Oryctolagus cuniculus: one gene and its partners. The protein of the gene in region 5 interacts with the protein of the main gene of each other region in a biochemical or structural test. Links are inferred from orthologs where the notes say so. Each region holds a gene or a part of one and is shown on either strand. Other genes may lie near its edges.

Region 1 (3,500 bases), on a different chromosome or scaffold from region 5:
TGGTTTTGAGAGTTTAAATCCTCTCCCAAAACCTCGAGAACTAATTTTTTTTTTTTTAATTTGACAGGTAGAATTATAGACAGTGAGAGAGAGAGACAGAGAGAAAGGTCTTCCTTCTGTTGGTTCACACCCCCAAATGGCCACTATGGCCAGCACTGCGCTGATCTGAAGCCAGGAGCCAGGTGCTTCTTTTTTTAATTTTTTTTTTTTTTTTATTTTATGACAGGCAGAGTGGACAGTGAGAGAGACAGAGAGAAAGGTCTTCCTTTTTCTGTTGGTTCACCCTCCAAATGGCCGCTACGGCCGGCGCACCACGCTGATCCGATGGCAGGAGCCAGGTACTTCTCCTGGTCTTCCATGGGGTGCAGGACCCAAGCACCTGGGCCATCCTCCACTGCACTCCCGGCCACAGCAGAGAGCTGGACTGGAAGAGGAGCAACCGGGACTAGAATCCGGCACCCATATGGGAGGATGGATTAACCAAGTGAGCCACGGCGCTGGCCCCAGGAACTAAAATTTTAGTCTCCCTTTGCTACAGCCCTGGTAGCCACCATGTATTCACCAAAATCCAGAAAAGCTAAGCTGTTTTTCTGCTCACAACTAAACAGGGCCCCCAGATTTCTGAATGTTCTGTTGGGATGCTTGCAAAGACGACCATACTCCATGTCACTGACAGTGGTAGCACCATATCAAGGAGTGCTTGTGGGGCCAGTGGGAATGGGAGTTAGAAAGCACAGCCCCTGCCTGTGATGGGTGAGGTGAGGCCACAGCGGGGACGAACAGCCCAGAGAGAGAAGTGTCACCTCCCTGCCAGCCCTGAGAGACAGACAGAAGGTGGTGTCCGTCCTGCCGGGTAGCACCACCTCGGGTTAACCCAGGCTTGATTACAGGGCCGAGTGTAGAGAGCCCCAGCAAGCCCCTTGAGTGCCAGCACTCTGGGGAGCCAGAAACAGGCAGATGAGAAATGGCTGTCCAGGGTGGCACTCGGGCTGAGGCTGCGTCTGCTTTGTGAAATGTAGTTCTCTAACGTCTAATCACTTACTAATTTTTGTGAAGGAGGAACAGGAAGCAAAGATTTCTTCCTATAGCCCCCTTAAGTCAGCATTAGCCATCAACTCCACTCTTGACTCCTTTTTAGACAAAAATCTTTCACTTGTTCATCAAAACCACCCTGACCACATCTCCATACCCCTCTTCCAATCTCTTGATTGGAGTCAAGTTACTCCTTTGCTTAAAACTTTCTAGTGGCTTCCATCACCCTAAGTGTCAGATCCAGGCTCTTCGCTGTGGCCAAGAATGCACTAAAGATTCAGGCATTGCCTGCTGCTTCCACTGTGATGGATCCCTCGCTCCATTCCCTTCCAACCCCATTGCTCTTTTTCTCATAGCTCAGACTGACTGATGCTCCTGGCCTTTGGGTTGGCACTGGTGGCTTCCACAGCCCACAGCACGCTCCCAATGACCGGTTGCTTCGTGGGACGAACCTCAGAAACTGTCGCCTCAAGACAGCTTTCTCTGAGTCCCTATTTCATCCGATTCCCTCACAGCTTTTCCCGGCATCACCAATCATTGTGTATGTCTCCCCACAATAAAAACGGACAAGGATTTTGCCTGCCCCGTTTATTGTGTGTCTCTAGCACACAGAGCAGTGCCCGAGTCCTCCAGTCCTCAAGGAACTAACTGTGGAAGGGATTGAATAGAGGTTTCATGGGAAATGCATACGATGACATGCGCCATGAGCAACCAGTGCTCAGTGATTCGCAAGGCAGCACATTCCATTCATACCATCAAGTTATTTTATCTTCGCGCATCAAGGTCAACAGATCTTTTGGTGCCATTTTCCATGAACTTTTGGGAGTAACCCTGTAGATAGAAATGCTGCCAATGACACCATCACTAAGACCAGAACTGAGGTGACTTTTAGTCAGCAATGGGTTAGGATAATCTATCAGCTTCTCTCCCCAGGAGAGCTCCTGGTAAGCAATGAAAAACTGAAAAATACCAACCTGTCTCAGACAGAGATTAAATCCAAGACACCTCCATCTAACCTAGAGCAGACCACAATGGGGATAGCAGGGCTGCATTTTTGTTGTTTTCTTGAAATTCCAAATTACCCACCCAAGCTAAATGACCTTCTGCTTGCTTTTCTCACAGTTGGAAGCAACTTTAACAGGGAGGTGACAAAGTGAAGTCGGCCGAAGACACAGCAGCCATCACTTTGGCAGAGAAAGGCGGCCCGAGGTGTGCAGCGTACCTGTCATGAGGAACAGGAGTCCAGCCACATGCTGGGTCAGGCTTTCCTCCCAGAAGAAACTGACTGTGGCCACAATGCAGCCACACAGAAGGACGGCTACCGCCATGCCCAGGAAGCCAGCAGTGATTCTTCTCAAATCTAGTTTAGAAACAGAAACACACATTCAAAATCAGAAGAGACAGGAAAGGTACTGACAATCAGAGAATAAAGAGCGCTGTATGCATTGTGAAAATTAGTTAAGTTACACAGACAGGCTGAGGGCCTGCAGGGTGATGGGGTTTAGGGAATTCTCCTCCCTGGTATTTCACAAAAGGACAAACAGGGTGTAACTGATGGAGGGACCACAGTCTACCCTCTGTCAGTCCACGGAGAAATTCATGTCATTAGAGAAGAGATAATAAGACAACCCCAGGGGAAACTTGGGTAATAGACAGACAGCTACTGAATACACTGTGAGGGAGGAAGGTTTGAGAAATGCCTTTGTTAGCCTTAAAAACAGTAATAGAAATGTAGGCTAATACCACTGTGTCTAAAAGGCATCTGGCTTTGGAGAAAGAGCCTAAAACCTGAGCCATAGTGAAACAGGATTTTATCTAAGCACCATGGATGCCAATCATTTCATTTTTTATTTACATCTACTCTTACCTATGGTCAAAAAGGATTTGAGAAAGTGAAGGCAACTGTGGTGACTGAAATAGTGACCCAAAGTGCACACATTACACATCTACTCATAAGTACCCTCTCCCCTAAAATATGGGTCCCTCAGCACAAACATCCTTTAACCAGGTTGAGGAAGGAACTGGTCCCTTTGGACAAGTCTCCCCCGGGTACCCAACTGTCCTGTCCTGTGTATTGCCAATTTTGGCTACAGGTATTTGGACACTTTGTTTCCAATTGCTAAATAACACTTGTATTATCCATTTGCTGGCCATCACTTTTCTGTTCTACTTCCTTTCTCCCCTTTTTACTTTAAGAATGAAACTAACTTGAAAAATTATTAGCTAAATGTCTATGATCCTCTTTGAAGCAGCAGATCCCAAACATACATCTGCTGTCCCTGAGGCCAGGCAACAAGTCTGGGCAAATGCACGTGAGCCACGCACACCTGCAGCCAAGACAAGGCACATGCTGCACCCTTTGAAGTGTGGAAGAGCCCAGGCAGCTGCCTCCTGGTAGGTTTGAGCAGCTCCTGGGCTTCTTATGGGTGCATGTAGAATGGGTTACAGTAGCATCAATCTTGCTCTTA
Region 2 (3,500 bases), on a different chromosome or scaffold from region 5:
TATAGACACCTATGGTTCACTATTGTTTCTTCTTGCTGTTGTTCACATAAAAAGCCATGTACCCTGACATTGTGTAATCTATGTGAAAGCATATGCAGAATTGCAGCTATGCATCAGGTAGACATGTGGACTGAATCACTCAAAACATTGCTTTGATTTTAATAAGAAATTAAAAGGAAGTTTGATAATCAGACCAGCAAGTAATAGTTAACAACCATTTTAAAACTTTCCCATTCATGTACATATGAAAATGAAGATACTTCCACAAAAAATGGTCACTGGCACAATAATTAGAATAATTACATATATTAGTTTAGAATTAATGGGATCTGGCTTAACTGAGAATTAGGTGTAAAATACTGTTAGGTGTGAGTTAACTAATAATACATGCATATTTAAATATAACTTGCTATATCTTTTTATTTATTTATTTATTTTGGACAGGCATAATTAGACAGTGAGAGAGAGAGACAGAGAGAAAGGTCTTCCTTCTGTTGGTTCACCCCCCAGATGGCCACTACGGCCGGCGCTGCGCGGATCCGAAGCCAAGAGCCAGGTGCCTCCTCCTGGTCTCCGATGCGGGTGCAGGGCCCAAGCACCTGGGCCATCCTCCACTGCACTCCCAGGCCACAGCAGAGAGCTGGACTGGAGGAGGAGCAACTGGGACAGAATCCAGCGCTCTGACTGGGACCAGAACCTGGGGTGCCGGCGTCACAGGTAGAGGATTAGCCTAGTGAGCTGTGGTGCTGGCCCGATTCACAGTTTCTTATGTCATGCCATAAACTGACCAAAAAAAAATGCTCATAAAGAAAAAAAAACATGAATTCTATAGAGAGAATTCTAACTTACAAAAATGCTGATTTTTTTTTACTATCAAATGAAAACATATACTCACAATTTAATTAGATGACAATTTACTATTAAATAATATCTATATACAATTAACTGAGCTCCATTACCTTATAAATATCCAAAAATCCACACTGGTGGTCAAATCTGGTGTACAGTTCATTCAGCATGCTGATCACTTGCATGGGTGTACATTGGGCACATATGGCCGTGAAGCCAACAATATCAGAGAAGAGCATGGTGACGTCATCAAACTTTCTGGCCTGCACTTGCTGCCCTTGCCACAACTGCTGGGCTACATCTCCAGGAAAAATAGAATAAAGAAGATCCACTGTTTTCTTTTTCTCCTCTTCCAGGGCCTGGTGAGTTCTTTCTAGAGTTGCCTTTAATTTGTCCATCCTCTTCTTCAAGCCATCTTGAGCCTTTGCCTGCTCACCAACCAAAATGACATCTCGGGTGGCATCATGAATAGGAATGTCAGAGAGATGTAGTCCTCGGCCCATGAGTTCATCCAACTTGTCCACACATGGAGATCCCAAAAATAAAATGGAGCTTGACTCTGGGACATGGATCATTTGTCCTTTGACTTCCATCACCTGCAACATGAACATGGAGCTTTGGTCAGTATTCTTCAAATAGTAGATTCACAAAAATTAATGCATTGTGTGGTAACAGGAAGACAGGAAATGTTTTATTAGCTATGCTGACTTACTACATTGATGTAAGTATACTTAAATCTTATTTACAGCAGTGTAAACTTCATGTTTCAAAAAATATTTTTGCATCTCAGCCACTTTCTAAAGAAAATAGCAAAGTGGAAGAGCAATAAAACATTTTTTATTCAAGATGAAAGTATTCAAGGAAAACGTTTCTTATTTAAGATGAAATTATTCTCAGGTATACCCTGAAACTGGTTTATGAGGCAAATTAAAAACTTTTAGCTTAATAATAATAGAATTAAGATAAATCTATCTGTCAAAATAACTACATTTACTTGTCATTTAAAAAAACTCCTTTCAGAAAAAAATTCAAGAGATTGAAATGAGTCAAAATAATTCTTATGCCTCATGGAAGTCATTTTTCCACCAGATATAACCCTTGGATAATGCAATGTTTATTGCATTGAGTAGACTGGTGAATACTTAGTCAATTAATTGATTTCTTGCTTGATTTCAATCTTAAAAATGAAAATTTAAGCCACATATCATTAAGCTGGAAAGTAATTATCACTCACCCATCTAGCATATCACTACAATCTAAAAATAAATTTAAAAAACTTGAATAGTACAGAAGGAACTCAGCTAACAAGATAAACAATCCAACATTATTCATTTTAATCTATCCCTCTTAATGTGTCCTTTCTGTGAGAAATTTAGCAAATTGTTTAATGGAAAACTTAGTTTAACTAGCAAGTTTATGGGATGGTGAACATGTTCAGAGAGGATGAGCATCAGTAGGAAAGGAAGGCAGGCTTAGGATATGACCTTTCATATACAGTTATTTAGGCCAGCATAAGGTATTTCAGCACACCTGGAGGGAAAGCCAGTTGTTACTCCCAGGAAAGGACAAGCTAAGAGTTGGCCAACTGAGACTGCATTAGTTTCACCTGAATGGCTTTCCACTATCACATCAAATGTGCTCAATACATTTGTTTTCCTTTATTCTTTAGAGCATAAAGTTAGGCCAGCTGATGAAATTGGAGGCAGAGAGCAAATACGGGGCCAACTACAGGAATTTGGACGTTTAAGCCTGCAAGCATGTCTTTGTTCACAATACCCCATTTGTTAATATAATTTTTATTTATTTGAAAGGCAGAAAGAGATCGGGAGGGAGACAGAAAGTAGTATTTAATCTTCTGGCTCATTCTCCAAACATATCCAGGGCTGGGTCAGGTTGAAGCCAGGAACCGGAAATACAATCCAAATCTCCTACATGGGTGGCAGAAATCCAAGTACTTGAGCCATCACCTGCAGTTTCCCAGGGTGAAGGCTGCACATTATCAGAAAGCTGGAATTGGAAAGAGGGAGCTGGGACTTAAATCCAGGTATCATCACATGTGATGCTATGAGCAAAACATCAACCCCCAGCCTAAAACAATTACCATCAGGAAATAAAATTGAATCCTTGATTTATTTTATGGATTTTTTTGAAATAAAATAAATGCTTACTTTTTTATGTAAGTTTTCTGCTAAAGTTCAGTATTTCACCCTTTTATTTATAAGGCTTTATTTATAATTATTCACAGTTCAGTTATTCACTGATGTCATTGAGTGCTTTTTTTCTTTTTTTGGAAGAAAAGTGATTTATTTATTTACCTATTTGGAAGGCAGGGTGACAGAGACAAAGAGCTCTCTGCTGGTTCACTTCCCAAGTGGCCACAATAGCAGGTCTGGGCCAAGCCAAAGCCAGAAACCACTAAATCCATTCATGTCTTCCACATGGTTGGCAGAAACTCAAGTAATTGAGCCCATTATCTGCTGCCTCCCAGGGTGCATTAGCAGGAACACATATCAGAAGTAGAGTAGCCTAGACTGGAACTGGCACTCTGGTATCAAATATGGTTTCCCAAGCTGTGACTTAACCCACTGTGCACAACACTCTCTCTTTTGAGAGCATTCCTTCTACTACTAGCACTCTGGATAGTAAGACTA
Region 3 (4,270 bases), on a different chromosome or scaffold from region 5:
GGTGGAGGAAGGGTTTTTGGGAGAGGAAAGCAAGACTGTCCACCACATCACCTCTGACCTCCTGAGGGCCTTCCCTGGGCAGCAGCTTCTACGCGGGCACAGTCCCCAGGCTCCGACACTCCCACTCCGTGTCTGCCGGGCTGCCCAAGGTGGAACCCCAAGGATTCATGGGTCTGGGGGTGGGGAGCAGGGCGAGAAGGGGTCCTCAGTGGAGCACAGGGGACGAAAGATCCGCCAGGCAAAACCCACGCTGCCTCCTGCTTGGCCCTCAGACTGCAGGGCGGGCAGGATGCATGGAGGGGGGTGAGAAGGGGCTTCTCAACTGAGTACCCTGGGGGTCTCTTCCCAGCTAGTGGTGCCCTGGGTATCCTGGCAGCTAAGAGGCATGTCCACAGCTGGGGCCTTCGTCACACTCCGGGCCCATGGGCCAGCGGGCTCCCAGGGCTTTCCCGGCCAGCCCCGAACACGGTCCCTGTGGGACTGTCTGCCCAGGCTCAGGGGAGCTGTTGCTTTGCAAGGTCCTGGAGCAGCTGGGTCCCCGGCCTGGGAAGAGCGAGGGACAGGAAGGCAAGGGAGGAGTCCAGTTCGCTGCCACTGTGTCACCGAGAGTTGGCCCCAGACTCTCCTCGGAGCAGCGGCAAGGGGAATTAGCTGTAGCTGGAAAGCATTAGGGGCCAAATGATTCTAAGATGTACTGCAAAAACCACCTTTCGCCCCCCCCCCCCCATCTGCCTCTGCTATGTCAGGATTCCAGCAAACAGAGACAGCATCCCACACATGTGTGTGAGGACAGCCACAGAGCGCACGCACACACACATGTGCACATGCACACACACACACCCACTCAAGGCTGACTGACTCTGGCGCAGCCGGGACGTACGGAACCAGCCCGGCCATTCCACCGCAGCCAGCATTTTTCTCCCGCAGAACTGAGTGGGCTGAGGAATGCCCAGGCTTGCCTGGCCCCTTCAACACCAAGTGGGCGATCACAGGCACCCGGCCTGGGCAGCCACAGGTGGCAGCTCCTGTGGGCGATCGCCAGAGCCCTGCGCTGCTGGAGCGAGCCGACGGGCGGCCTCCACCCCCCGAGGCGCACACGCACACGGACAGCCCAGCCGCGGAAAACGCAGGCCAGCGGCCCACGTCAGAGGCTGACCAGTTGCGTCCTGTCAGGAAGCGCGCAGCCTCTCAGCGCCCCCAACTAGAGGCGTTCCCGTATTGTTCTGGACACAATCGAGCGCACCGAGCCAGCCCCGACTGCGGGCACGGGGCGGTGGAGACACCGGGGCCACCGGGGTCAGGGGGACGGGGCAGGGGAAACGGCTGTGCGGCTAGACCGGGGACGGGAAAGGAAGGGGTCGCCTGGGCCCCCCGGCCGTCCCTACTCGGCGCGCGCGGAGCTCCCAGCACGTGGGCGGCGCGGGCGGTCGCGCTGCGGGGGAGGCGAGGGGTCGGCCCGCGCGCGGGGCCACGCTCCCTCGCCGCCGGCGAGGCCAGGGCTGAAGGAGGCCCGGGCCGCGATGCGAACTGCGGAAGGAGACTGGCAGGCGCCCGCCTCCCCTCAGCCGGGTTTCCCTCTTCGTAGGGTTTGCGCGGAGTCAATCCAGACAGAGCCAGCGCGGAGACATTTCCAGGCGAGGGCGAGAAGGGGCAGAGGGACGCAGGCCTCCCGCAGGGCTGAGCGCCCGCATTCCAGGGACCGGCTTCTCCGAGCCCACCCTCCGCCCGCCCCGCGGAGACCCGGCCGGGAGCGCGCTGGTGCGCCCAAAGCCGTACGGGCTGTTCCGGATCGGAGGAGCCGGACCCGCCCGGTAAAGCCGGGTGGAGTCCCCCTGTCGGGTCCGGGACGCGGTCGCCTCCTGGGCCGCGGGCGTCGACCTTGCCAGCTCCCTGTCTCTCAGGTCCCGGAAGGGTGAAACCTTAGCCCAAGCTGGACACTTGGGGAGCGTGGGCGTCCCGTGAGCGCACGTGCCGCTTCACCTGTGCAGGTGAGCCGGCGCCTGCCTCCCTCCACCCTCCTGGAGTCCCCGTCTCCCCCCAACCCAAGTCTCCCTGCTTGGCGCTCGGAGTCAGACCCGGGAGGTGGGGTCGTCCGTCCCCGGCCCTCCGCTCGCCCACCGGTGCGGATGAAGTACTTACAGGGTCACGGTGCCGTTAGGCAGCAGGCCGGGCTCCGGCGGCTCCGGGAGATCCCCGCCGCCGCACACCACCCTCCTGCGCGCCGGGTTGGGGGCGCCGCTGCTCAGTCCTTTGGGCCGCTCCCCCGAGCACTTGCAGCTGCGGATGGGGACCGGGCAGCCCGGCGCGCCCCGAGTCGCGGGCGCCAGGAGCAGCAGCCACGGCAGCAGCAGCAGCAGCAGGCGCGCCGGCGCCCCCAGCATCCTGCGTCCCCAGGCGCCCATCAACCCATCGCCCCGCGGGGACCCACAGCGCAGGGGCCCGGCTGCGCGCCGGCGGGAGGGACCCGGGCGTGCGCGACGCGCGCTCAGCGGGGGCCCGGGACGCCCGGGGGCGGGGCGGGGGGCCCTGCGCGGAGGCGAGCCCCAGGGTCCCCGGCGCCGCGCCCCGGGGGCATGTCCTGAGAGCGCCCCGGCGGGGAGGACGCGGGCGCGGCTGTCAGCGCCGCTTGGGCGGCCCTCGGCGGCGCGGCCCGGCTCCCGGCGCAGGGCTCGGGGGCCGCGGGACGCCCGGCCTCTCCGCGTCGCCTGCTCCCGCAGCGCTGCGCTGGGACCTAGCGGATCGCGCCCGGCTCCTGCCGCCGCCGCCGCTCCGGGCCATGGATGGAGGCAGCCCGGCGCCGCGCCGCTCCCGCCGCCGCCGGCCCCGCCCGCCCTCCGCTCGCCGCCCACCCGTCCGCCGGGCCCTAGCGCCTCCCGACGCGCCCAGGCCCCGCGCCGGCCCGAGCCCAGGCGCCCGGACCCCCACCCCCGGCGCGGACCCTTTCCCCGCGCCGCGCCCCGCTGACCTCCGCGCCCGGAGCCGTGGCCTCCCGCGCTCGTGCTCGACCGGCCTGCGCCCCGCGCCGCCGCGGCCTTTCCTCTGCTCTGAGGCCGGGGCGTAGCGTCTGGGCTTGAACTTGGCCCTCGGCGCCGGGGTTCGCGCTGGCCCCTGAGCTGACCAGCCGGCCTGGGGGTCGGCTCCGTCTCACGGCCTCGGGCCCGCCCGCAGGCTCATCCGAGGCCGCCGCCGGAGGACGCATGCTGGGGACCGGGCTGCAGGGACCTCGCCCGGAGAGGGCAGTGACCTCCACAGCAGGGGGTGCCTGTCGCTCGGGCCGGGCAGGGCAAAGGCCGCGGCAGACCCGGCTGGATCTGCCCTCCTACCTTTTCGACCTCCCTGTGGGGTGTGTGGTGTAGTGTGTGGTGTATGTGGTGTGTGGTGTGTGTGGTGTGAGTGTGTGGTGTATGTGGTGTGTGTGATGTGTGTGTATATGCGGTATGTGAGTGTGGTGTATGTGTGTCTCTGTGGGGTGTGTGTGTGGTATATGTGTGAGTTGTGGTATGTGAGTGTGGTGTGTGGTGTGTATGGTGTATGTGTGTGGTGTGTGTGATGTTTGTGAGGTGTGTATGTGGTATGTGTGTCTGTGGTATATGTGTGTATGTGTAGTGTTTGTGTGTGTGGTGTGTGTGTGGTATATGTGTGCATCGTGTATATGTTTGTATGTAGTGTATGCCTGTGGTGTATGTGGAATGCATGGTATATGTGTGTGTGGTGTGTGGTGCATCTGTATGTGTATGTGATGTGTTTGTGTGGTGTGTGTGTATGTGGTGTGTGGTGTGTCTGTGTGCATGGTATATGTGGTGTGTGTGGTGTATGTGTGTGGAGGGTGTGTGTGGAGGGTGTGTGTGGTGTATGTGGTGAGTATATGGTGTATGTGGTGTGTGTGTGTGTGGTATATATGGTGTATGTAGGGGTTATGTGTGGTGTATGTGGTGTGTGATGTGTATATGTGTGTGTAGTGTGTCTGGTGTATGTGGCGTATATGATATGTGTGTGGTGTGTGAGTGTGTGTGGTGTGCATGTATGTGTGTGGTGTGTCTATGGTGTGTGTGATGTGTGTGTCAGGTGTGTGTGTCTGTGGTGTGTGATGTGTGCATGTTGTGTGTTGTGTATGTGGTGTGTGTGATGTGTGTGTGGTGTGTGTGATGTATATGTGAGTGTGTGTATGTGTGTGTTATATGTGTGTGGTGTGTGTGTATGTGAGTGTGATGTGTCTGGTGTGTGTGATGTGTGTGGTGTGATGTGTGTGTAGTGTATGCAATGTGTGTAG
Region 4 (3,500 bases), on a different chromosome or scaffold from region 5:
CAAAATCAAAACCCTCATTCAGACCTTCACATTCCAAAGGAAAAATAATAACAGTGCAAAAGCCCATTATAATGTCATTATTTATGACCTGGCCCTCCATGTTACATACTGGAACAATACAAGTTATATTTTAATATGCTGTGCCCAAAACTGTAACAAAGAACAGTATTAATATCTTCAAAACATGAATAGCTGATTTTCATTTTAGTCAACAATTTTCAGCTCTTATGAAAGACAAGGTGATATACAAATTTCAATGGTGAGATCTTAGGAATGGTTGTCTCTAACTTTACCAATTTAACTTATGAGCAGTCAATACTCTATGTATCAATGTTTAAATATAAACATGTAAATTCTAAGAGCTTTGTTAAAAATTTAAAAATTTTATTGGTTGAGTGAAACTGATGAGGTATGGAAAAAGTCAATATGATTTACTAAGAATATTTTAGATGAAGTTCTGCCTAATCTATTTACCATCAAACTCTATGAATGCTGCTCTAGTAGGTCCTATGCAATCTGTATTTGTAAATTAACTAGGTCAGACCACAGCTAGTGAACAATTTCAGCACCAATAAGTTATTCAAAATGGGATTTTATACCATTAAGAAATACAATGGCTAGATATTCAAATGTCAAGGTCAAGGTATAATTTGAAAGACACCAAATTCCTGGGGAAAAAAATCCTTTTTCATAGTTTTTTCTCATTACCTTCACAATATTAGTTGCACTCTGCTTGAAATCATATGCAGTCTGGGAATATCAAATAAATGATGATATTTAAGAAATTGAAGCCCTAGTCCCAACTCTAGCACTATGAAATGATTCAACACTGCACAATGAAAAAATCTATTCTTTCAATAGCAAATCAATAAAGCAAATGTTGGATAATTTCTACTGAACAATTATATGCCTTATTATTTGTGCAGTGTTGAAATTTACTGCAACTCTAATTTCCTTTTTAACACAATGTCTTTTTTTTAATATAAACATTATATGTATTCAGTATTCAAGTAAAATTCCCTAACAGTTAATGACATTTAAAAAATGTGCAAAACTGCAAAACTCATTGTAATAGAATGTGTAAGGTCAAAAGGGTGGGACGGCTGACAGCTACTGGATTGAATAAGTGCATCATAAATCTTTAAAGAAAAAAACCGCTTACTGTAGAATCTCAAATTGAAATTTCCTGTGTAGCATTACAAAATATTTTATATTTAATGAGGAAAAAAAGAAGCTTGCAGGCAGCACTTGAAGCATCCACAGCAGGTATATGATTGAAAACTAATAAAGTATAAATTGTTGACTGATGTAGGTACTAATAGCATCTGACTTTTAGCACTGGCCTTGATTACACAGGAGATGGAGCAGTCATTACAATTGAGAAAACATATTTAATAAATCATTGTCAATTTCTATAATGTTTCAAGCCCGTTCTTTGTTGATAGCCTCCACATTTATATGGTTAAGTCATTGTTGCTGTGTTTCCTATCTATAACCACATTATTTTTATATCCCTTCATTGTGGATTAAGATGTTGCAGAAGGTTCATTCCTGTACCCCAAAACAGATTCACTCCCTCTAGCTGCCTTTTCTAGCACCAATATGCTTTTTAAAAAAATGCACAAACAACAAGCAGTGACAGTGGCCAAATCCTCAAATGTCCAGATTAGTACTATAGCATGCTAAAGAAAGGTGCGTGTAAATAGCTGGAGATGGTATATGGTCCAGAGTCCAGCATGAGATAAGATTCCTTTCTAAGCATTCTCTCCATTCCCCTTACCTGAATACATGCATTAGAATTTAACAAAACCCTTAAGAAACTTCTCTTAGCCAACTGCAAACTTATCTGTTGCCACAAGTGCAAAGGGGTAGGATGTGAACCTGTGCGTCACAAAGCTCTTTTAGCCACTTAAATTGGTGACAGAACACAAAAGGAAAAATTTCCACGTATACACATCAGTCTGTCTCCACTTTTTATAAAACTGGAATAAAACGGGAAAGTGCCATCTTTATTTATCCTAATTGAATTTTAAATGTCCTTTTGACACAAAAATGTATATACACGACACAGCTACACAACCTTTTTTTAACTGGACAACAAGTGTCAAAACCCTGTGGATGTATAGGGTAAAACAAGATTGGTCAGGAAAAGAGAATTGTTCCTATAACTGGTAATCTGACACAATGTCCTATTGCCATTAAAAAAAAAGGTCCATTTTCAGTTTATTCAAGTTTGTTTTCATGGTGCATTATCCCTCTTGATAAAAAAAATTCAGACTTTTGTAATTTGTGTATGCTGATCTTCATCAAAAGGTTCATTCTCTGGATCAGAGTCAGTGGTGTCAGAATATCTATAATGATCAGGTTCATTGTCACTAACATCTGGCGTTACAGAAGTTGAACTGCTAGCCTCTGGATTTGATGGCTCCTCTACTGTTTTTGTGAAATACAGCTTCACCTAGAGAAAGAAGAGAAAACTTTAAAATGAAAATCCACAAATATGATTAATCTTAAATTATTTAGATGACATATTTTTAATTTTTCAATCATAAAATTCAATTCAAAAATAGTTGAGTTCCAAAGGAATGTTTCTTTTTTTCTGTTTTAAAAATATTATTTGACAGATGGACAGAAACAAGGACAGAGACAAGCAGAGCCCCCATCCATTGGTTTACTCCCCCAAATACCCATGATGAAGAAGAGTAGGCCAGGCCAAAGCTGGAAGCCACAAACTCAACCCAAGACTCCCACAGAAGTGGCAGGGACCCAAATACTTGAACTGTTACTGCTGCCTCCCAGGGTGCACATTGACAGGAAGATGGAATTGGAAGTCGAGGTGGGACTTAACACAGGCACTCTGAGACGCAGGCATCCTAACTGGCAGCTTAATCACAAGGCCACCTGGCCCAAGAATGGTTTCTCTTAATACCTGTCTGAAACTCAGAGTATTTTTCCATACTAACAATACTAAACAAACATAAAAAATACTGATCAATAGTGAAACTCAGGATCCATTAGCTCTAAAAACTTCACCTAAGGAAAGGAGAGGGAAGTTAACATCATATGTTGTCTAAACAGTGGGCCAAGAGCCTTAACATGTATAGTCAAACTAATCAATCTAAACAACTCCACATTTTAGTTTTTTCAATTTTAAAGGAAAAGAAACCAAGGCCTGGGACGGTTAGGGAATTTGCAAAAGGCCACATATCTAGTAAGTATGGATATGTGATATTTAATTGAATCTGACTCCAGATCCCTTGCTCATTCTAACTATAGACCCTCTCCTATTGTTCAAGAGTCATTATCAATTCTTTTCTTATACCAACATCCACTTTGTCAGTAAATCCTGTAATTTTACTTTCAAAATATCACATATACCAATCTGACAGCTACCTTCACTATCACTATTCTATGTCCAAACAATTACTAACTCTCCCAAAACTAAACTGCTCTAACAGCCTCTGAGCTATCTCCAAAGTCTTGCCCCCTTTTTCCTACTT
Region 5 (3,500 bases):
GACAGGCAGAGTGGACAGTGAGAGAGAGAGACAGAGAGAAAGGTCTTCCTTTGCCGTTGGTTCACCCTCCAATGGCCGCCGCGGCTGGCGCGCTGCGGCCGGCGCACCGCGCTGATCCGATGGCAGGAGCCAGGAGCCAGGTGCTTTTCCTGGTCTCCCATGGGGTGCAGGGCCCAAGCACCTGGGCCATCCTCCACTGCACTCCCTGGCCACAGCAGAGGGCTGGCCTGGAAGAGGGGCAACCAGGACAGAATCCGGCGCCCCGACCGGGACTAGAACCCGGTGTGCCGGCGCCGCTAGGCGGAGGATTAGCCTAGTGAGCCGCGGCGCCGGCCTGTAAATATAATTTTTAACGGTTTATACCTGGGCCGGCGCCGTGGCTCAATAGGCTAATCCTCCGCCTTGCAGCGCCGGCACACCGGGTTCTAGTCCCAGTTGGGGTGCCGGATTCTGTCCCGGTTGCCCCTCTTCCAGGCCAGCTCTCTGCTGTGGCCAGGGAGTGCAGTGGAGGATGGCCCAAGTCCTTGGGCCCTGCACCCGCATGGGAGACCAGGAAAAGCGCCTGGCTCCTGCCTTCGGATCAGCGCAGTGTGCCGGCCACAGCGCGCTGGCCACGGTGGCCACTGGAAGGTGAACACACGACAAAAGGAAGACCTTTCTCTCTGTCTCTCTCTCTCACTGTCCACTCTGCCTGTCAAAAAAAAAATGGTTTATACCTAGTTATTTTATCAGTTACTGCTTCATCCTCCATATTATTGTACTTTTCTAGATTTAAATTAAACTCTGGAACTTTATAAAACAATTATTTCAGTAGAAAATGAGTTTATTATGTTTTTTAATATTAAACACTTCCCTGAGTTCTTTTCTGTTAAAGATACAACTAGACCAAAACGAGATTATGAGGTAGACGGAAGAGATTATCATTTTGTGACTTCAAGAGAACAGATGGAAAAAGATATCCAGGAACATAAATTCATTGAAGCTGGCCAGTATAACAACCACCTGTATGGAACAAGTGTTCAGTCTGTGCGAGAAGTAGCAGAAAAGGTAAGCATCACATGAATGCAGAATATGCTGTTCATCAGATATGCCTTTGACAATATGAAAGAATTACAGAAACTTCTAGTTCTTACTTAAAAGGATACAAGATGGATGATAGATTGATTACTTTTAATTCATTGAACTAAGTAATTTTAGGTGGTTTAGAAAAAGACATACAAGTTTACATACAAGATAAAATAGACCAAAAAAAAAAAAAATGGGAGTAGAAAGAATAGCACAAATCTAAGAGGGGCAGTTGTTATTTTAAGACCTTTTGCTAGAGACAGACCTGTCTTTGGTCCTAGCTTTCCAGCATTTCATGTAATTGAGGAACTAAGATCTGCAGTATCCAACAATAAAAATTATTGAAATGTTCAAGATAAATGTAGTTGCTGCTGGTATTGAGATTAGACAAAAGTTTCTCCTCTGAGTCTTCATTTAAAAGACAATATAGGCCGGCGCCGAGGCTCACTAGGCTAATCCTCCGCCTAGCGGCGCCGGCACACCGGGTTCTAGTCCCGGTCGGGGCACCAGATTCTGTCCCGGTTGCCCCTCTTCCAGGCCAGCTCTCTGCTGTGGCCAGGGAGTACAGTGGAGGATGGCCCAAGTGCTTGGGCCCTGCACCCCATGGGAGACCAGGAAAAGCACCTGGCTCCTGGCTCCTGCCATCGGATCAGCGCGGTGCGCCAGCCGCGGCGGCCATTGGAGGGTGAACCAACGGCAAAAGGAAGACCTTTCTCTCTGTCTCTCTCTCTCACTGTCCACTCTGCCTGTCAAAAAAAAAAAAAAAAAAAAAAAAAGACAATATAGCCAGCGCTGCAGCTCACTTGGCTAATCCTCCACCTGCAGCACCGGCACACCGGGTTCTAGTCCCGGTCAGGGCGCCAGATTCTGTCCTGGTTGCCCCTCTTCCAGGCCAGCTCTCTGTTGTGGCCCGGGAAGGCAGTGGAGGATGGCACAAGTCTTTGGGCCTTGCACCTGCATGGGAGACCAGGAAGAAGCACATGGCTCCTGGCTTTGGATTGGTGCAGTGCGCTGGCCGTAGTGGCCATTTGGGGGGTGAACCAACAGAAGGAAGACCTTTCTCTCTCTGTCTCTCTCCTTCACTAACTCTGCCTGTTAAAAACAAACAAACAAACAAACAAACAAAAAAACACCATATATATATGGTGTTCGATGGTGTGGCATAGCAGATAAAGCCACTGCCTGCAACGCCAGCATCCTATTTAGGTGCTAGTTCAAGTCCTGGCTGCTCCACTGCCAATCCAGCTCCTTGCTGCTGCGCCTGGGAAAGAAATGGAAGATGGCCCAAGTGCTTGGGCCCCTGTACCCACATGGAAGACCCGGAAGAAGCTCCTGGCTTGGATTGGCGCAGCTTCTGCTGTTGCCGCCATTTAGGGAGTGAACCAGTAGATGGAAGTTCTCTCTCTCTCGTGTGTGTATATATATATATATATGTGTGTGTGTGTGTGTGTGTGTGTATACATATATATATGTGTGTGTATGTGTATATACACATATATGTGTGTGTGTGTATAATCTGACTTTCAAATAAATACATGTTTTTTAAAAATTACAAAGACAGTATTGGACAGGTGTTGTGGGACAGTAGGTTATGCCACTAGTTGGGGATGCCCACATTCCATACCAGAGTGCCCAGGATCAAGTTCCACCTCCACTTCCAATCCAGCTTCCTGCTGTTGTGCCTGGGAGGCAACAATGATGACTCAAGTACTTGAGTCTCTGGCATTCATGTAGGAAACCCAGATGAAGCTCTGGGCTCCTGGTTTCAACCTGTTGCACCTTGGCTGTTTTGGGCATTTGGAGAGTGAACCAGCATGTGGAAAATCTCTCTCATAGCTCTGCCTGTCAAATAAATAAAAACGAATAAACATTAAAAAAAAGAATCTGACTTGAACAACAATATTAACATTTAAAAAAAAAAACAGGAATTCACAAACAACAGCAATAGACTTTCTGAAAGCATCTTTTGTAGTCATCTGGTGAAATGGTGACACTGGGTTAAAAGTTTTATAGTGAAGCTAAATCAATGTCATAGTGCTGTTTCTTAAATCTTTGGGCCTAGAAAATAAACATTGTATACCTTTAAAACTTAGAGTTTAAGTCTCAATTATGAAATAGCTGTAACAAAACATAAAGCAGTAATAAGTTTCCCATATATAAATGCTACTTTTCTAAAAGAAGTTTGTTCTAATTTAACATTTTTAGAAAAAGTGCATATGTCCCAGAAGTGAAGACAAGGACTTGAGAAAATGGAAATTTTTAGGTAGTTGGGATATAAATGAACATAACTTCCTTTGACAACAGTTGGGCAATACCTAATAAGTGATTCAGAAATTCTACTTATTCATGTCTAGGTATACATATATCCACAGTAGCACCTTATAATGTGAAAAATTGGAATCAACAGAAGGGAATGGATAGTCAACCCTCATTTA
Region 6 (2,315 bases), on a different chromosome or scaffold from region 5:
CCCTCCCAACATGTTCCTGGGACCCTTGGGCACTGGAACACCCAGACACAGCCCGGGCCTCCTCCTCCCTCCACCCGCAGCACCTGGGCCATCGCCGGTGCTGGAGGTGTGAACCCTGTTAACAGGCTGGTCCCGTGCTCTGGCCCCAGGCACCAGGCGTGTGGCCTGTAACTGGAGCTGCTGACCTTTGCCGGTGGGTGGAGGAGAGGTGGCAGGGAGCGGCCATCCCGGCCTAGCACTGACCAGGCTGCTTCCGGCTCACGTTGTTCTCAGCTGGGAGCAGGGCCAGGCCTGCGGAGGGCTGCGGAGGGCAGCGGGCTCCCTGTTGCCTGACATGCCAAGGGTGGGTCCCCGAGGCCTCAGCGTCTCCTGGGGTGCTAAGTGGTGACTTCCCTCCCTCGGCCTGCCCAGCCCACCCCTCTGGCCACCACCCATCTCGTCCTTCCCCGGCCCCTGTGTGTGAAGCTTCCTGCCCCCTTGTCTTCAACACTGTGCCTTTTAGACGAGAAATCAGGAGCCCCACAGTGGGTGACATTCAGGGTAGGCTGGGTGGGATGTCTGGGGGGAGGCGGGGTCATTGCTGGGAGCGACAGGGAGGTCGGGGAAGAGAGGACTCGACCGAAGCCAGCGGGGACCAGGTGCTGAGGGTCACCTTCTGAGGGGCATCTGTCGGGCAGAGTCCTCCAGGTCTGAGCCTGAGCCCATCGGGTGGGACCCCCGGCTCCAGGGCCCGGCCCTGGCGGGTGACTGCATCCCAGCCCCACTTCCAGTTACCTGGTGATGCCGTTCATGGGCACCGACCTGGGCAAGCTCATGAAGCACGAGAAGCTGAGTGAGGACCGCATCCAGTTCCTGGTGTACCAGATGCTGAAGGGGCTGAAGGTGGGGCACCCGGGCAGAGCAGGGCGGGGAGGCTCTGTGGCCCTGAGGCCCTGGGACGCTGACCCCTGCTGACCCCTCTGTCTGCAGTACATCCACGCTGCTGGCGTCATCCACAGGGTGAGTCCTGGCTACGGCCTCCAGAGGGGCCCAGTCCCGTCTCCACTGCTCACCCGTGAGGGGGTGCGGTGGGCTTGGCGTGGTGCACACGACACCCCATGCATTGCTGCTGGGAACGTGTCCTGGGGACCCAGGCACCTCTGCTCTCCTGGACGGGCTGCAAGGGCCAGGGAGGCTGGGTCGGGCCTGGCGGCCCCTGTGTGGGTGCCGTCCAACGTCGGGCCTCGCAGTGGCCACCTGTCCTCTGCCTGCAGGACCTGAAGCCCGGCAACCTGGCAGTGAATGAGGACTGTGAGCTGAAGGTGCGAGGGCCAGGGGCCTGGGGGGGGGGGCTCCCTCACCATCTGCCCCCAGCCTGGCACCTGGGCAGGGGCTGAGCAGCTAGCTGGTGGGCGAATGGGCCCTGGGTGGTCCCTGAGGGGGTGGCATCGGGCACGACGCCCCCATACCTGCGTCAGGGCGAGCGTGGGAGGTGTTCCCAGTCCCCATGCCTGACCCAGGGCGGGGCTGAGGAGGCCTCCAGGAAGACGGGCAGGGGTTGGCAGAGCAGGGAGAGGAGTCCAGGGCCAGAGCTCCCGGGTACTCCCAGGGAGGGACCCTGGGGTGGTGCTTGCTGCCTTGGGCCCAGCCCCCTGGGGGTCTCCCGGACCATGGCTGGCCTGTGCATCCCTTAGGGGTCCTCTTAGTCCCATCTCTCTGATTCTTCCCACAGATCCTGGACTTTGGCCTGGCCAGGCAGGCTGACAGTGAGATGACTGGCTATGTGGTGACCCGGTGGTACCGGGCCCCCGAGGTCATCCTGAACTGGATGCACTACACACAGACAGGTAAGAGGCCACCCAGGGACACGGGGGCCTCCCAGACCACACCGCTTCGCTCCATGGTGGAGGCCCCGCCCCCCAAAAGCTGTGTGTTCTGGCGGAGCCGGGTGAGGGCGTGGGCCTGTGCTACAGCCCCTTCCTCCACCCCGGGTGCTGATGGGGTCTCGTCTCAGTGGACATCTGGTCGGTGGGCTGCATCATGGCGGAGATGATTACGGGGAAGACGCTGTTCAAGGGCAGTGACCGTATCCTCAGTCGTGGGCTGCCTGGCGGGCGGGGCCGGAGGAGGTGGGTGTGGCTCCTGCTCCCTGTCCCCTGTCGTGCTCCTGAACCCCAGTGCAGACCTGGACCAGCTGAAGGAGATCATGAAGGTGACAGGGACGCCTCCGGCCGACTTCGTGCAAAAGCTGCGGAGCGCTGATGTCCGTATGGAGCTGGGCGGGTGAGGCCAGCTGGCCTGGGGGCTGCCCCTCACCCTGTCTTCCCTGGCAGGCC
Region 7 (4,159 bases), on a different chromosome or scaffold from region 5:
TCCTTTGGGCTGGAAGTTCACAGAATTCTAGACTCACAACCGGAGTCACTTTGTTTAAGGACGTCTCAGGACCCGCGACAACACGTGGCCCCAGAACACTGGAGGCGATGGGACCGGGCAGGTGCCGGGACCCCCTCTCTGACCCATGCCATGGCTTCTGGCTCTAGAACCCCACGACCTGCCCGGAGACCAGGGCCACCTCCAGCAGGCGCGTCCAGCCCGCTCCTCCCCGGCCCCTAGGCACACGAGACCCCCGCACCCCTTCCCCTTTGTCTGCAGGCCGGCATCTGCCCCATCAGAATCAATGCCAGTATCTGGCACCTGCAGAACCGGGGTTCTAGCCCTTCTCCGGGTCCCCTGCATCCCCCCGGCTCGCGCCCAGGGCGTGCGTTCCCAAGGATGCGCGGCCCTCTCCCAGCCCGCGGCCTCCTCCCCTCTCTCCTGCGGCTGCCGCTGCCGCTGCTGCCGCGAAAACCAGAAGTGGAGCGCGCGCGGCAAAGCGCCGCGCTCTCGCGGCGGCACTGGGCATGCTCGGCACCCAGGGCAGGTTTCGGCGGCGGGGCGGACGCTTCTACACTAGCCGGGCGCCCGAGCCGGCCGCGGAGGCATAGGTGGAGGCTGAGGCTGCTGCGCGCCGCGGGAGGAGCCTCGCCCTCGGCGGCGGCGGCGGCGGCGGCGGCACAGGTGGCGCGGGCCGCGCGCGGGGCGCAGCACGGGAGCGCTCGGCGCCGGGCGCCGCGGCGGCCCCAGGCTCGCGCCCGCGGCGGTAGCCGGCCGATCAGAGCGGCGGGCGCGGCGGCGGCGGCGGCTGCTCCTCTACCAGCCCGGCCGGCCCTCCGCGGCAGCGGCGCCCGGAGCCCAGAGGCGCCCCGAGGAGCGCGGGGGAGCCCGCGGAGTCGGGCAGGGGGCGCTGCGCTCGCCGCGCTCGGAGGGGCCGCCGGGCCGGGCGCTGCGCACTCGCGTCGGGAGCCGCCTCTCGCCCGCGGCGCTCGCCCCTGCTCCCCGCCAGCATCGCCTGTCCCGCGGCCGCGCTCAGACAACAAAAGCGGAAGATGCCGCAGTTGGGCAAGGTCAGGACCTTGCCCTGAAGCCGGGCGGCGGCGCGCACGCCTTTCCCCGGACGGGAGGAGCTGTCGCCGGTGGCGGGTGCATGTTCGCCAGGAAGCAGCCGGGCGCCGCGCCGTTCGGTGAGTTGCCTTCTCCGGGCTGCCGGGGCCGGCGCATCTTGCGCCTCGGCGTCTTCCTCCTCCTCCTCGCCGCCCGTGGGGGTTGGCCCTGGGCTCCCGGCCGGCTGGCGGCGGCGGCGGTGGCTGCTGCGCGGTGCTGCCGGCCGCGGGCGCGCCCGGTCCCCTGTCGGCCGACGGCTCTGCCCGGCGCGGGGTCCAGGGCAGGTGCGGTTCTCGGAACGGTTACCGAGTGGCTGTTGTGCGTGCGCCGCCTCCCTGCCACCCATCCGCCCCGAAGGAGGCGTATATAGGGCAACCCGACCATCCTGCTCCCCGCCACCCTCCAGAACATACCCGTGGCATTCATGACGTCCCTAATATACGAGAGAAGACGGGTGGGGGTGGGGAGGACCTCCCTCGCGTCTCCTGCCCTTATGCTCAATGTCATTACGATGTTTGGCTAGAACAAAATGGAAAGACTTGGTCCTACGCGTCCATGGCCGAGTCTTGCGCCTGCCGCCGCCCGCCAGACCGCGAGTCCCTTTTGGTCTATATTTAGCGGCTTCGGGGGAAGCCTTTGCAGCTCGATTCACAGGTTTCGGGAGCTCGCGCGTCCTGACAATAGATCGTGAGGCTCTGGAGAGCGGCGCGCGAGACCCAGGTTTGGGGAAGCTGCGCGCGAGCCTGGGCGGTGCGCGATGCGAGATCTGGGCGATCCGTAATCAATGGCTGAACGCGGCGCTGCTGGGTTTGCTCCCCGACCTTCCTCCTCCTCTGGGGTGCGATGGGTTTCCTGGGCTTGCTCCTCGGCAGCTTTCAGCCACCGCGTTCAGAACCAAGTCTAGACACGGGGGGTGCAGCCTCTCTGGTCTGCGTGGTGGGGAAACAGACTTGGGAATTTTTAGGGTGTGTGTGTGTCTGTGCGTGTGTGTGTGTGTGTGTCGTTCCCACAAAGAACAGTTACTTCCCTAATGCCCAAAGTTGTGTTTCGCTGCAAGTGTGGGGGTGGCGAGGGGTGTGGAAGCCGAGAGAGGAGCAGGTTGCGGGTTCCCTGCCTGGAAAAGGTGCCTCCTTTTGAACTGATGGGATTTGCTGTGGCTCTGAGAGGGGTTGTTCACGTGCATGTCTGATGTTCTGGAGCAGCTAGGTTGGCTCTGAACAGAGATTTGTTTGAAGCATAGAATTGGGCCTGGCTGGCATAGATTTTCACTTTGTGGAACTATGGGACCAATATTTAATATGCTGGGAGTTTTCTGTAACGATTTCCCTGAAAATGAGGAGGTGCCGGAACTACCCGGGAGTTATCTCATTGTGCGCCTTCCATCATCGGTAGCTTAGGTTAGTGGTGGTAGGTCAGTTAATCTCTGCTGTTAGTCATTCGCCTACATAATTGAAAGGCTTCAGAGCATGCCACTTCTAAAATCCCATGGAGAAGTGTTTGATAGGAATTAGAGGGATGAAGCTGTGCATGATTGGGGAGCTTTGCTATAGAAGTATGGCAAATAAGGGAGAGTGTCTTCATATCTGGATTGATTGCTTTGAACTGTGCTGAAATCTCTCGTTAACGTATCTTTGCCATATGCAGAATCCATTGCTAATGTTGTTGGAAGACCTGTTAGGTGATATCCATAGTGGTCTGTGGATTATGAGATGTCAGGGCTTGAATGAATATGATTGCATTCAGAATTTGCTGCTGAAATTTGGGAGGCCCTATCATGATAGCAAAAACAAGTTAGTGCTGCAGAATGATCAGCCAGGTCTCAAGTGGCTCAAGTTAACAGAACACTGGTTAGTTTCACCAATATTGCATTTGTTTCAACTTTATCACATTCAGAGAACTTTCCTAGAGCACTTCAGACATTGTTGTGTTCCTTGCATTCTTTAAATATAAAATATATTTCAAAAGAAGCCATACATGATAGAGACATTCATCTCTTGTTCTGTTTTTCCCCATTTGACTCTAGGGTTTGTTTTAAATGATTCTTAAAGGACCAGTTGATATTGCTCTGTGCCTGTGTGTGCACCAGAGAGCTGTTGATGGACGTAATTAAAACTAGATGTGCATTTTACGTTTTATTTAGATTGAAAATGCTAGTACTGGACTGAGTGGCAATTGTAGTAAGTACAAGATTGTTTGCTCTAAAGACATTGTTGTAGCCTTGCAGAAAGTAGTTACTTAATTTGGTGTATGTCTGTAGTTGTATGGCTCAGTTTTTACAGATGTCATGGATGTTTTCACTATTTGTAATGAGAGTCATGTGCTATCAAATTATGATATTTCCATCCACTTCATATCTTTGCCATAGAACAAAAGCCAATTCTTTCCCCCAATGAAATTGTTCATCAGACAGGAAAAATGAAATTCAAATTATATTAGTTGGAAAGGACAATTTATAGTTTTGTGAAGTAATTTCTCTGGATAGTATCCCTTCATAATGACCTCTAAAATTAAAAATGAAATAACAATATTCTCAAATATTGCATTACTTCTAGCTATAGTTAAATATGCAGTACTTTTTCCCTGAAAATGTTATAGAACTTGCTGTTTGTTGTGCTTTTAAATGGTATGTACTTCTGTGGAATTGCTGCGATTTTGCAGTGTAGTTTCATAAGGTGTCCTTGCATAAGAAAGTACCAGTTACATCTGAAACAATGTATATGTACTTTGTATTGGCCATTATGTTTCTAGTTGTAACTAGTTGCAGTCAATTGAACTAAAATATACTGTTACATTTTGAATATCCGAAGTCATTTTTTTTTCTTCTTCCCTCATGATTAGCCACAAAAGAGGTGAACTTCCAGTTATGGTTGTTTCTTTTTGTGGACTTTTTTTTTTTTACTTTTTTTTTTTAGAGGGAAATTGGTGATGCTACTATCACTTTCCAACATAGATCTTATGAAGGATTCCACGTGGTTGAGAGTACTTAAACTCGAATGCCATAATTCAGACATTGAACAAAAACCATGAATTAACTGGCAGTTAGTTCTAACTT

The links.
Region 1: the proteins of DLG1 (region 5) and TMEM178A interact in a test that uses a peptide from one of them, tested with the Homo sapiens proteins (2 studies listed by IntAct, with this or other methods). The link is inferred for Oryctolagus cuniculus from reciprocal best matches to the Homo sapiens genes DLG1 and TMEM178A.
Region 2: the proteins of DLG1 (region 5) and GUCY1A2 interact in a test that uses a peptide from one of them, tested with the Homo sapiens proteins (2 studies listed by IntAct, with this or other methods). The link is inferred for Oryctolagus cuniculus from reciprocal best matches to the Homo sapiens genes DLG1 and GUCY1A2.
Region 3: the proteins of DLG1 (region 5) and ADGRA2 form a complex in vitro, tested with the Homo sapiens proteins (2 studies listed by BioGRID and IntAct, with this or other methods). The link is inferred for Oryctolagus cuniculus from reciprocal best matches to the Homo sapiens genes DLG1 and ADGRA2.
Region 4: the proteins of DLG1 (region 5) and PTEN form a complex in vitro, tested with the Homo sapiens proteins (2 studies listed by BioGRID and IntAct, with this or other methods). The link is inferred for Oryctolagus cuniculus from reciprocal best matches to the Homo sapiens genes DLG1 and PTEN.
Region 6: the proteins of DLG1 (region 5) and MAPK12 interact in a test that uses a peptide from one of them, tested with the Homo sapiens proteins (2 studies listed by IntAct, with this or other methods). The link is inferred for Oryctolagus cuniculus from reciprocal best matches to the Homo sapiens genes DLG1 and MAPK12.
Region 7: the proteins of DLG1 (region 5) and CTNND2 interact in a test that uses a peptide from one of them, tested with the Homo sapiens proteins (2 studies listed by IntAct, with this or other methods). The link is inferred for Oryctolagus cuniculus from reciprocal best matches to the Homo sapiens genes DLG1 and CTNND2.

Annotation. Positions count from the first base shown.
Region 1 is NC_091433.1:163,090,557-163,094,056, forward strand, and holds part of TMEM178A (transmembrane protein 178A), read right to left. Parts: intron 2,393-3,500; coding exon 2,255-2,392; intron 1-2,254. UniProt on the Homo sapiens protein: Acts as a negative regulator of osteoclast differentiation in basal and inflammatory conditions by regulating TNFSF11-induced Ca (2+) fluxes, thereby controlling the induction of NFATC1.
Region 2 is NC_091432.1:98,475,020-98,478,519, forward strand, and holds part of GUCY1A2 (guanylate cyclase soluble subunit alpha-2), read right to left. Parts: intron 1,446-3,500; coding exon 960-1,445; intron 1-959. UniProt on the Homo sapiens protein: Has guanylyl cyclase on binding to the beta-1 subunit. Isoform 2 acts as a negative regulator of guanylyl cyclase activity as it forms non-functional heterodimers with the beta subunits.
Region 3 is NC_091433.1:87,659,262-87,663,531, reverse strand, and holds the start of ADGRA2 (adhesion G protein-coupled receptor A2), read right to left. Parts: upstream 2,801-4,270; 5' UTR 2,403-2,800; coding exon 2,140-2,402; intron 1-2,139.
Region 4 is NC_091446.1:42,723,183-42,726,682, forward strand, and holds part of PTEN (phosphatidylinositol 3,4,5-trisphosphate 3-phosphatase and dual-specificity protein phosphatase PTEN), read right to left. Parts: intron 2,459-3,500; coding exon 2,273-2,458; 3' UTR 1-2,272. UniProt on the Homo sapiens protein: Dual-specificity protein phosphatase, dephosphorylating tyrosine-, serine- and threonine-phosphorylated proteins.
Region 5 is NC_091435.1:83,523,395-83,526,894, reverse strand, and holds part of DLG1 (disks large homolog 1), read left to right. Parts: intron 1-874; coding exon 875-1,047; intron 1,048-3,500. UniProt on the Homo sapiens protein: Essential multidomain scaffolding protein required for normal development. Recruits channels, receptors and signaling molecules to discrete plasma membrane domains in polarized cells.
Region 6 is NC_091442.1:123,206,753-123,209,067, reverse strand, and holds part of MAPK12 (mitogen-activated protein kinase 12), read left to right. Parts: intron 1-770; coding exon 771-882; intron 883-969; coding exon 970-999; intron 1,000-1,253; coding exon 1,254-1,301; intron 1,302-1,711; coding exon 1,712-1,826; intron 1,827-1,993; coding exon 1,994-2,065; intron 2,066-2,162; coding exon 2,163-2,242; intron 2,243-2,312; coding exon 2,313-2,315. UniProt on the Homo sapiens protein: Serine/threonine kinase which acts as an essential component of the MAP kinase signal transduction pathway.
Region 7 is NC_091445.1:41,181,238-41,185,396, reverse strand, and holds the start of CTNND2 (catenin delta-2), read left to right. Parts: upstream 1-1,359; 5' UTR 1,360-1,607; coding exon 1,608-1,827; intron 1,828-4,159. UniProt on the Homo sapiens protein: Has a critical role in neuronal development, particularly in the formation and/or maintenance of dendritic spines and synapses. Involved in the regulation of Wnt signaling.